Drosophila melanogaster: one gene and its partners. The gene in region 1 interacts genetically with each later gene. Each region holds a gene or a part of one and is shown on either strand. Other genes may lie near its edges. The genes, in order: Cdk4, upd1 and Rbf.

Evidence for each region.
Region 2: of Cdk4 (region 1) and upd1, changing one suppresses a phenotype caused by changing the other (phenotypic suppression), as found in Drosophila melanogaster (one study listed by BioGRID).
Region 3: of Cdk4 (region 1) and Rbf, changing one suppresses a phenotype caused by changing the other (phenotypic suppression), as found in Drosophila melanogaster (2 studies listed by BioGRID).

Annotation. Positions count from the first base shown.
Region 1 is NT_033778.4:16,577,438-16,581,192, forward strand, and holds the start of Cdk4 (Cyclin-dependent kinase 4), read left to right. Parts: upstream 1-2,032; 5' UTR 2,033-2,096; intron 2,097-2,126; exon of another isoform or gene 2,127-2,489; intron 2,490-2,668; exon of another isoform or gene 2,669-3,256; intron 3,257-3,395; exon of another isoform or gene 3,396-3,404; 5' UTR 3,405-3,475; coding exon 3,476-3,578; intron 3,579-3,755.
Region 2 is NC_004354.4:18,307,692-18,311,446, reverse strand, and holds the start of upd1 (unpaired 1), read left to right. Parts: upstream 1-2,155; 5' UTR 2,156-2,638; intron 2,639-3,187; exon of another isoform or gene 3,188-3,710; 5' UTR 3,711-3,755.
Region 3 is NC_004354.4:799,876-803,630, forward strand, and holds the start of Rbf (Retinoblastoma-family protein), read right to left. Parts: upstream 1,605-3,755; 5' UTR 911-1,604; coding exon 722-910; intron 643-721; coding exon 503-642; intron 442-502; coding exon 253-441; intron 191-252; coding exon 1-190. Other genes in the region: CG13359 (uncharacterized protein), read right to left, coding at 2,070-3,551.

The DNA of each region.
Region 1 (3,755 bases):
ATCAGTGGATCAGATCTTGGATCTCGCATCTCAGAACTGCGATCTCCGATCATCGATGGGGTTCGGGTTTGGAACTAGTGTGTTCGATTCGCTGGGCCAGTGACGTTGTTGGCCAAGTGGCATTAGTTTGTCGATTTCAAGACCCGTCTTGGCCGTGTCAATGGCCAACCGGTTGCTTCGGCAGACTGCCGTGCTGCTGCTGCTGGCTGATTTATTCAATTGGCTAACATTTAGCCAAATTGCCCGTCAACACCCCCGAATTAAAAAAAGAATAAAAATAGAGAAGAAAAAACGGGCTCAGAACGCGCGATTCATTTGGACTCTTTGTTTGGCTTGGCATTTTCTTGCGTATTTTTAGCCAGAACCAAGCCATTTTGACCATAATATTTGTACAATAAATTTCATTTAATTAGTTTTTTGGCTCGCAGCCGGTTTGAAACGCAATAAGATTAATCGCCAGCGCCGATAAGCGCCTTCGTCACAGGCCGACAAAATGTCAGAGAGTGAAAAACAAAATATAAATGCTTATCAGCGACTTGCGTCTATTTGCCGATCGGTGAATTTCAGATTCGACCGGATCCTAACGGTATACCATATAATACCATTATTCCGGCAACGTTCCAGACACACAAACTAATGCAAATTAAATGGCTAATCCGTTGGCAGCTTCCTCGGAAATTATTAGTTGTCAGGCGGTTGAAAGACAAAGCCGATTATGATACCCAGAAATCCTGATAGCACACTCATTCATTATTCATTCATGAAAAGTTTTTTCTGTGAAATCAGTTTGGCTTGGAATCGGAAATGCATATGTTCTAATTGGGTGAGGTATGCTACACGGCTGGGCGTTGACTTCCGCGAAGGAATACGACTCATCCAGGTGCTAAGTGGGCCAAGATGGGCTGCAGCAATTGAATCACAAATGCCAATCGCCGACTGGCGCCCACCAAAGGTGAGAAAGGTGGGCACGTTCCGGCTGTCTGGGAAAGTGATATTTTCATTTCCCAACAAAACACATCCATCCTGACCAATCGCATTCGCATTCGCATTCGCTGTTTGCCCTTTCACTTTGAGCCGGAAAGGCGTACGTCATGCATAATTTAGGTGCCTGATACCCGCTGGTGGTAATTAGCACTCGGCTGACTTCGTCACTGTGCTCTAATTTGATTTCGTTACTAATTAATCGCGCTTTTTCCCCAAAAAAAAACATGGAAATTTTCGCCAATCCAATGGGTAACATTTGTGATAGGCGGTTTGTTAAATGCGTTTATTGGTTTCACAATGTATTTGCAACATTGTTTTTAAATTTACGCGCCCCACTGCGAATGCCTTGATTCGATTTCGAAATTGGCAGTGCGGCCAGATCGTTGGAAATCGGTAAGCAAGCTTTCACTCAAAAAAATGTTGAGCGACTTTTGGCATTCAACTCATGTCAATAAATTATACATTCAACGAGTGACTTTATCGCCGGATTGAGTTACAAATTGAATTATGCCGCCAATCTAGATCATTAAGACATTTTATTCCAGAATTTTGTATTATTTTGCAGGGTTATAAAAATTTAAGTTTACCAAATCCTAAAAATGCTAAAAGTCAATGACACACATGTTTGGAGTTAACTAATTATGGCCGACCAATTGTAGTTGACCACGACAGTTTTAAAATTTTCACATTTTATCGTATGTAATAAAAATTTTTTTCAAATATTATTTTCATTATGTTTATTATTATTTATTTATTTGTAATTTATATATGTTACATATATAAATGCCTGAAATTCACATTGCAAAAAAAATAAATTTGGGCATTATTACAAGTTGAAAATATCAAATTCCCAGAAATCAATAACATTAGTATAACACAATAACACTTACGTTATCGAATTGGAATAACATTCAATAACGATCGCTGGCAGCAATTTCGAAATTAACCGTTTAACCGATTGGACGTATACAGCACAATGTTAGCGGCCGTCTGTTTGCTAACAGCGGGCGATAACAGGCGAAGAGAAGCCACTGTTAAGTAGACCATCTAAAACAGTTTCCAGAGCTGTGCCAACAACAAAACACAAAATCACTCAACTCTTACGAATATTGGTAAAAATTTATAAGACGTTTTAAAAACTTAATTAAAGTGCGACTGCCGGCAACTGAACCGTGTTCGCACCGAAAATTCGCGTCGCGTTGCTCCTATCGTGCGGTTCTAGCTGGATTATCAACAAATGCCAAAATTTCGTCAAAGCGAATAAAAATCATATATGTATACATAATACCTGCGCCTGTGTGTGTGTACCACTCGGTGTGTGCGTTTGTGTTTGTGTATGTGTGTGTGTGTAAGACCGATCTCTCAAGCGAAATCACTTAGCGGCGTTGTGTGTGTGTTCGAGTCTTCGCAAATAAAAACCACATTTTCTTAATATTTAACTAATATTTCGCACAACGGTTGAAAGAAAAACGACAACATTGGCATTGAAGTTCACCGAAAAAAAAGTAAAGTGAAGCCGAAATTTCCTTATCAGTAGAGCGCAAATGGTGAGCGAGAGAGGGATGACGAGGGAGAGAGAGGGGGCGAAAACTGGTGCAACAATAACTATGTATTTTAGACCCAAATATACAGCTCGTAATACCTCGTAATACCTTTCACAATTCTGGACACTCTCTTTCTACCCAGTTTTGTGACTGTGTCGCTTATTATTGTTGTTTCGCTTGTCTCGCGATTAGAATTAATTGACAAATGCCAGCAACAAAATACATTGTATTCGGGTTCTTTTTTGCGGTATATGTATATTTTTCGGGCAAAAAAAATGCACTGACAGAAAAGTGGTAGCACTTTAGATAGGAGAGAATAGTGGACACACGCCAACTAACGCGACAGTAGATAACCAGTACAGCGTTCACAGTCAAGCTCGAATAAGAGCAACAGGATGCACGAACGAAGCCGCAAAACGGAGACGGCGAGCAGCGTCACTGAATAACATGAATAAGTCATAACTAGTGTTGGCCTTTGCCGTTCTGCGATTGGTTAGACATAAAAACGGAGTATGTACGAAAACATTAAACGCGGTTCAACGACCGCCGCCATCTACATACATACATACATATGTAGTTGTCCATGTATATGTTTCGGTTTTCGGTTCTCGGAGATAGAAAAGCATAGCGGAGCATATAGCCAGACTTCTTCCATTAGCGCACCTGTCACACCAGTCTTTATCGCCAGTTTTGGGGTTATCTAGAAAAGGCAACAGGTATGAAATCAGGTAAGGCCCTCCCTCTCTCTCTCACGCACTCGCACTCTCCCTCTCACGCTACGATCTGTGTGAACTATCGCGTGGGGACACAAGGACATATCGATACGTGACATGCAGACGATCGATAACCAAAAAAAAAACACCCCTTCACTTCCAGCTGGTGCAACTAACGGTTTCGATTACCCGGAATATTAGAGGAATACGCAAATAACCGTAAAATCCAGCTAAATGTCATATGTACGCCAGCTGAAGCGGCAGAAAATGTCCCAGGCGAAGAAGTTCGGCGATGGCGATCCGTTCAACTACCAGGAGCTCAACATCATCGGCGAAGGTGAGCGACTTGGGTGGGATTTAATAATGGGACGCGGTTGCTTTGTTGTTGGGATAGGTCCGGCTCTCTTCGCACGAGAGGCTTTCGTTTGCTGGTCGCTTGTTGTTAACGTTTGATTACTTTAATTTGCTTACAAAGTCTGGGCTATTTGGTTTCACTACTGTTTACGATCAATCG
Region 2 (3,755 bases), on another chromosome or scaffold:
GATGGTTCTCCTTATGGCACATCTACAGATACTTGTATCTGCATCTGTATGTATCTCTATCTGTATTTGTATCTCTCGGTTAACCTTCCGTCTCGAGGTCGAGGTGTTCGCTGTGGCAATTAAAGCGTATCCTTAGCATTCGCTACGCCGCTAAAAAATTACACCATGACAGGACACAATGCGTTCTGGACGGGCGAGGACCTCACAGGACAGCTCAATTTTGTAGCAAAATATTTTTGTTGTCCAGAACGAATCGCAAGTAAAACAGAAAGTCGAAGCTGGACGACTGGGTGTGGGGTTGCCTCCCCGCCGGGAATGCTGTGTGTGTGTGTACCGACAGCAGCAGCAGGAGCTCATCAACGCAATAATCGTGTCCATCTCGGGCGTACGAGTATCCCGATACCGATACCGATCCCGATCCATCCTGACAGCATCTAGGAGATGAAGCTGTTGCTCCGGGTGCGAATTGCCCTTTTTGTGCCTTGCCGCCCGTTTCCCAAAGGAGAGGTCGCACAAAAGGTGTGCGCTGCCACCTTGATATATGTGATATATGCGAGCGAGTCCCTCTCTGTGGGTTGTGGGTCCTGCGAGATTCGAGTCCTGTGCGTCCGTCCTGCCTTGCGGCGAAATAAAGGCGAGTGGCCCCGCTGCGCAACACAACTGCTTCCTGCAGCAGTTGCTGCACGCTGCACTTACGGTTAGACGCAAGGACACACCGTCCGCTGTCCGTTTCGGCCCGCTATCTGACCATCTACAGCTGTTTTCGGCTGCCCAAAACAATGCGGCCATAATGCAGCAAAACTCTCAATTTAATTAGACCGTCAATTGTGCAAGCCCTCGAAAGTAGGGAGAAATATGGGCATATTTGACATAGGGATGTCCTAGGTAGATGGGCGTCCGGGGGTTCGCCAGTTGGGAGTACCTGGCCCACTGGCCAGAGATTTCACACTCTTCTTCTAGTTACCCACCCAAAGCGGAATTGCGACAATATCAAGCCGAACTCATCGAGATGGTCAAATATCAGCGCTGCGATTATCAAAATAAATAATTTGAGGTGAGTTATAAATGTATCAAAAAATGATGAAACAACTTAATGTTTTACGATTTTTATGTAAATCTTTATTAATTAATTACCCATACGAACAGATTTAGGCATATATATGTATATTATTAACTTCATTTAAACAACTTGAATCATGTCAAATGAATTTGAATGGTATATACATATATAATAGATTGTGAGTGCCAAAATCACTACTTCAGTTATATTGATTGTGGTTCGAACACGTATAAATAATATTACTATAAAAATGTATATATTATGTATTATTATATATATTACTACTGGTATTGAGAAGAATTGTAACTGCACAATTGGTTGATTCCTTAGTGCTTTATCCTATTTTACGCTTTATTCCTTATAATTACTAAATTAATTTTAATATACAAAATATATAGCAATTTACTAGTTGTTAGAAAAAGTTGAAGAAAATGTAATATTGGTTAACGTTCCTCGTGGATAGTTCTCGAATGGATAGTTTACCTGGATTAGCGAGCTGAATAGCGGTGTTATGTTGGTCATTTCCGTTGATCACTTTCTAGACCGATTTGAATGTCAGGACTTTTTGGGAGGGGTGAGCAGGCCGCTCAAGGTCACCCAGAGAGTTTGAGAGAGGGAGAGAGAGAGAGGACCTAGCTGACCGGGCTTAGAAGAGTGAGACAGAGCCAGGTAGGCCTGGTCTTTTGGGGCACCAGGTAGGCTGCCTCTCTTCTTTTCCCGCTCTTTGAGTGAGTGACGCGGATTGGGCAAGTGGGAAAATTCCAGTTGCAATGGCGACCGGCCCAAGATCGCCCTGGTCCGCAGGAGCGAGCGGGATGGCGCGCGAGGACAGCCGGTTGGCAGGCTCAAAGACGGCACCAATACACACTTCGGCCAGGTAGGCGCATACGCACACACGTGCAGGTGACCTGGGAATAGGATACCCCGAATACGATCGGTGAGAGCGGGCGCGGGAGCGGGACAGCCTGCGGTTCTTCGGATCTGAATCTGATCGGTCCGAATCGGCGGTCTTCTTCTGGCTCGGACCATGGCGTACCGCTCGTCGGCACTCGGCGGGCAGCGACGCCGGCAGAGGCCGCTCAGCTCGCCTCAGTTCCCATTTCAGTTTCGGTTTCGGCCTTTTGGCGCTGCTCATCGGTCGGTCGGTTGGTCGGTGGTCGGTCGGTATCGCTCTGGTATTCTGGTATCTGGTATCCGCAGCCTCTCAGCGAAGAAAGCTGGTCAAATCCAGCGCGACTTTGGGCTCAGTTCGGTTTCACACTCGAACGCGAGCAGAAGTGTCCGCGAATCAGTCTCCAAAGCATCGAAATCACCAAATCAGAACACAAACTGAAGCACGGATTTGAACTCGATCTGTGGTCAAGTGGTCTCACAAATATTATATATAAATACATTTTTTTGCGAGTGTTGTGCTGCAAGTGTGTCCATTGAAAACCGCCGGAAAATCAACGAACAACGAATCTCGAACGATCATCGAACATTTGGATTAACGTACAGACTTTTGGGAGCTCAGGCGCAGCACAAACCACGGGGATCCCGCGAGGATCCTGAACGATTCCATTTTTCATCTATAATGCGGTGTGTGTATTATTTTTAATTTGATCAAGACTTAAGAGCAGGCACAATTGGAGAGTGGAGAAGCGATCGAAAAGGATATTTTGGTCAATATCAATTCTCCACTCTTCAAGTGACTTATCAACAAGAAACGACCAACGATCTACTGTTAAGCAAAAAGGACATTCTGTGACAGCAACTGCAATTTTGGGAATTAGGATTAAATTATATAGTTTAATTAATTCGCTCTGCATTAAAATGCAAATCCATTCAGGATATTGTTACTTGTGCGAATCCTTTCCGTTCGTTTTTAGCAGCAAACGATCTTCAGTCTCGAATTTTAATCCTGTCAGATAAAGTAGCTAACTTGAATGGAGAATTTGAAATGTTCAAATTTTAGAATTAGCCCCAAATCCAAAATTCAACCTCAAAAGTTTCCATACACTTTCACACACTGGAAGTTAAAGCCAAGCCAAGCCAGAAGGCAGAGATTTGTCGCCTGGAGAAGATTAGATCCTCGAAACTTGGATCGATACGTCTTCGTTATTCGCTCAGGCTACTCTCGAGTTAATTGTCTAAATTAAAAAGTTTCCCCGCCCTCAATATACACACATATCGCTCTGGAAAAGACAAAAAAAAAAAAACAACGAAAAGCAAAAAAAACCGCAAAACAAACATAGAGAAAATGTTAAAAAAATCGAACCAAATTGTTGAGACTGTTGTCTGGTTGCAGTTGCATTCGCATTGAAGGAGGCTCGGCCGATCATCCGACCCGTAATCCCGATCACCTCAGAGCTCCAGCATCGAAGCACCCGACCACCCAATCCCACCCAGTAACCCATCCACTCCCAAGGGAGTCCAGTTAGTTAACCATCTAGTCAGGGAGGAACAGTGATAGCAGTTGATCGTTGGTCGTCGCGCGTTGTAGCAGAAAATTGAATTTACTTTTGCATTCTCGATACTCATAGTGTTTTTTCTCCACATCTCTTCCCTTCTGACCCCCCATCCCCACCCTTCACATATATCCTATATATATATATTGTAACCCCGTTCGCTGTATCTGCACACTGATTTCGATACGGACCGCGGACAGTAGTTGGTTGGCAGTGCGCTGCGACCACAGCTAAAAACAGCACCACGG
Region 3 (3,755 bases), on another chromosome or scaffold:
ATCGGTGCGCTTCTCGGCCAGCACATTGTTGTATATCAGGTCTATGCAGCAAATCATCAGATTGTAGGATGTCACCAGGTCCACGGTGTTGCTCGGCTTCTGGTTCTTGGCGCAGAGAAACAGGCGCCAGCAGATGTCGTCCAGCTTGATGTACGAGCACTTTCCGTGGGCGTGGTTGCCATGCAGAGAACTGTTCCAAAGAGGGAAGCTTTTTATATACACGGGGTCAGGCTGACATGATGATATACGCACATGTACTTGGAGTGCTTCTTCTCGTTGGGCGGGCACGAGAAGATCATGTCCATAATAATGCGGAAACGCTTGTGCAGCATGAATGTAATGCTGAACTTGCGGTCCAGATCCTCAATCTCGTTGACAAACTCCTGAGGCAGGTTGGCCATGTCGCACCACTGCTTAATTTTGGTCTTGAACTCGTAGATGCTGTGGGTGGGGATTGTGGAAATGGTTAGGTGTGAAACTGCAGGCATAAACGGCAACCCACCTCATCTTGCAGCAGCGCAGCAAATTGTTTAAGGACACACAATTACCCTTGACCACTGCATTCTGGCCAGTCACCGTGGGTGTGCTGGTTCTTCGGCAGGCCGTGTAAATGGCGCAGCACATCCAGTGGCTGGCTGTGCCCTTTTAGGCAGGCAATGCACAGAAAGAATGAAAGAAAGGACGTTAGGTTGGAGGCTACTGCTGCCACTTCGAAGCTCACCTCCATGGAGCACCTCTGGGACACCTCTAAGTACGTCTCGTAGCCCTGCAGCTCTGTCTGCCGATCCATGTTTAGATCCCGGCATAGGTTCGTGTACTCGGCGTTGATCATCTCCAGGCGGTCGTCGCTGGTCGCCACCAATCCGCTGACCACCTCAGCTCCCAGTTCCTGCGGGTCAGGCTCGCTCATGTCTGCGAATGATGTCTCTGTCCCGGCTGATTGCGTATGCTTGCAGCGGCGGCCGCTGCTTCTGGCGACAGCCTGGAGTCGGAAATCGGAGACGGAGGCGCCTGAATTGGAGCTAGCCGGCTAACCGGGGCGTTGCGGGCCTGGCGCCGCTGTTTACGTCTAGTGGCCTGGCGCCTAGTGGCTGCCGGTGTATGCTGCGCTTGCCGCCGCGCTCCTCGCGGACATGTAACTGCGAGAGCTTACACTTAATTACAGAAATAATGAAGTTTCCCGCCGAAATGATTTGGGCGTGTGTGTTTGTGTGCGAGTGTTTGTCGCGTGTGTGTGTGTTCGCGATACACCCTTTTCTGAGGAACACAACAAAAGAGCAGGCGAGGGGACAGAACAAACAGCGCTGGGATGCTGCGATTAGCCAGGACCACACCACGGCCACGGTTGTTGGTTAAAACACATTAACAAAATAACTATTTCACAACTTAATCGCCATGGAAAACGCGGGAAACTTGACTAGTTGCGGCGGGCAGGTGCGTGTGATCCACTCCGCGTTCGAACTATCCACTTCTAGGGCTGCGCGGACGATGTGGCCCTAGGGATGGACTTGTGCAGAAGGAAAACTAATTTATTGCCACTACTTAAAGATTTTGCAATTGCGATTGCATAGTCAGAGTCTGACACGTTAATACAAGTTAATGGATTTTTAGTTGGGCGGCCGGTATTTCGCCAGCAAAGCCATGCGGTCACACCGACGCGCGCATTCGGCCAGTTTAAACGTGGTGGGGTGGTATTACTACAGTGCTTGGCGAGTTATGCAGTGACTGCAAGCAGTATGTCGTGTTGCATACATACCTAAATTGGGGGACCCTAAAATGAATTAGAACGAAATAATTGACAAAAATATGTGTACACATATAATTTATTTGCAATGCACAATGCTATTTGCATGTGTGCGGTAAACTGACAGTGTTGGTTAGCGTTCAAGAGCATTGCACATCGGCGATATAGCTAGTTGTAATCGATAGCCGCAAATTTAAATACTGCTTTGAACTTTATGGAAATTCGCGGGAATTCTTCGCGATTCAGCTACTAACATACATACATATACACTATACAATTTAGAGAACTTGCTGTCGCAGCACATACGACCCGAGCTACGACGTGGCTAACGTAGATACCGTCTTCTGAACCTCCTGGCCAGGAGGTGGAATAGCATGTGTCGCCGCATAAAGGCCGCCGTCAGACCTGCCGCCGTGGACAGCTCGTGGTTTTCTTGAGAATCGCTGGCCAGACTGGAGCTCTCGAAGGAATTGGAGGAATTGAAAGAGTCAGAACTCTCTGCCTGCGTATTCTGATCCGCACCAGTTCTAGCACTTCTCCAAATGGGTGTTGAAGAGCCGTCGGACTTACAGCCACTGGTGTTGGTTCTGGAGTTCGGGATCTGGGTTCTGTCGGGATGCTTCTCCAGCACAAGGCAATGCTGTCTTTTGAACGGTTGACTAGCAGACACACCGTACTTGGCTATCGCGCGGTTGAGCTCAGGATCGGGGATGTATGCACCGCGCGACAAAGACTCCGTTTTTCCGATCGATTTTCTTTTGGAAATATACCCGCTGACATATCTTTTTGGTCTAGAGAAACGTCTCGCGGAGGTTGCCTTCTCAATAGTCAATTTCCTCGCGGAGGTTGCATTGTCAATGGTCAAGTTCCTCGTGGATTTTGCCTTGTCAATAGTCATTTTCCTCGCGGAGGTTGCCTTCTCAATAGTCAATTTCCTCGCGGAGGTTGCATTGTCAATGGTCAAGTTCCTCGTGGATTTTGCCTTGTCAATAGTCATTTTCCTCGCGGAGGTTGCCTTGTCAATAGTCAATTTCCTCGCGGAGGTTGCCTTGTCAATAGTCAATTTCCTCGCGGAGGTTCCCTTGTCAATAGTCAATTTCCTCGCGTTGGTTGCCTTGTCTATAGTCAATGTCCCCGCGGAGGTTGAGTTGTCAATAGTCAATTTCCTAGCGGAGGTTGCCTTGTCAATAGCCAAGATCCTCGCAGAGTTTGCCTTGTCAATAGTCAAGTTCCTCGCAGAATTTGCCTTGTCAATAATCAATTTCCTTCGCTCCGCCTCCTCCGTCTGCAAAGTCTTGTGGTGCACCTCAACGCGATCCACAAGATTCTTGGCCGCCTTCTGATCAGCTAAATTCATCTCTGCACGCACCTTGCGGAGAGCAAGGCAGTCAATGATGCTATGACTCTGCCAAGTGACCTCCAGGTCGGCGGGGATTGGTGTTCCCTCTGACGCCAAGCAGCCCTGACTCGTCATTACTTGTTTCTGGCAAATGTCCATGAACTTGTCTCGCCGGCTAAGCAACGCGTGAGGCGCCAGGTCCACATCCCCCAGTTTCCGGTGATTAAAGTGGGTGATTAGTTTTCCGGTATGCGAATTTACCCCCACGACGGTTGCGACATCGAAGTGCTCTGGACAGCGTATGCGCATCTCGCTGAGCGAGCAGGCCAAATCCAGATTTGACCGGCACCACACTACCATATCCTCCTCGTCGTCCTGTTGCGGCTCGACATAGGGAATTAACCGCTGCAAGTTCGGACGCGGCGTTCCCACGTCGCAGAGGGCATTAAAAGATGCAGAGCATTTCATTTCTAAATATAAAATTTATATTTTTTTGTACAAAAACTTCAGGCCAACTTATAAAACTGTGTGAGGGGAAACTGCATACATATTCGATTGAACTGAATATTCCAATCTTAGGATTCGAAAAATACTATAAATTGTTATGGCTAAATACTCGGGCTGATCGCTATCTTTATATGTACTCTTCAGACTGCTCTTTGTTTTAAAAGC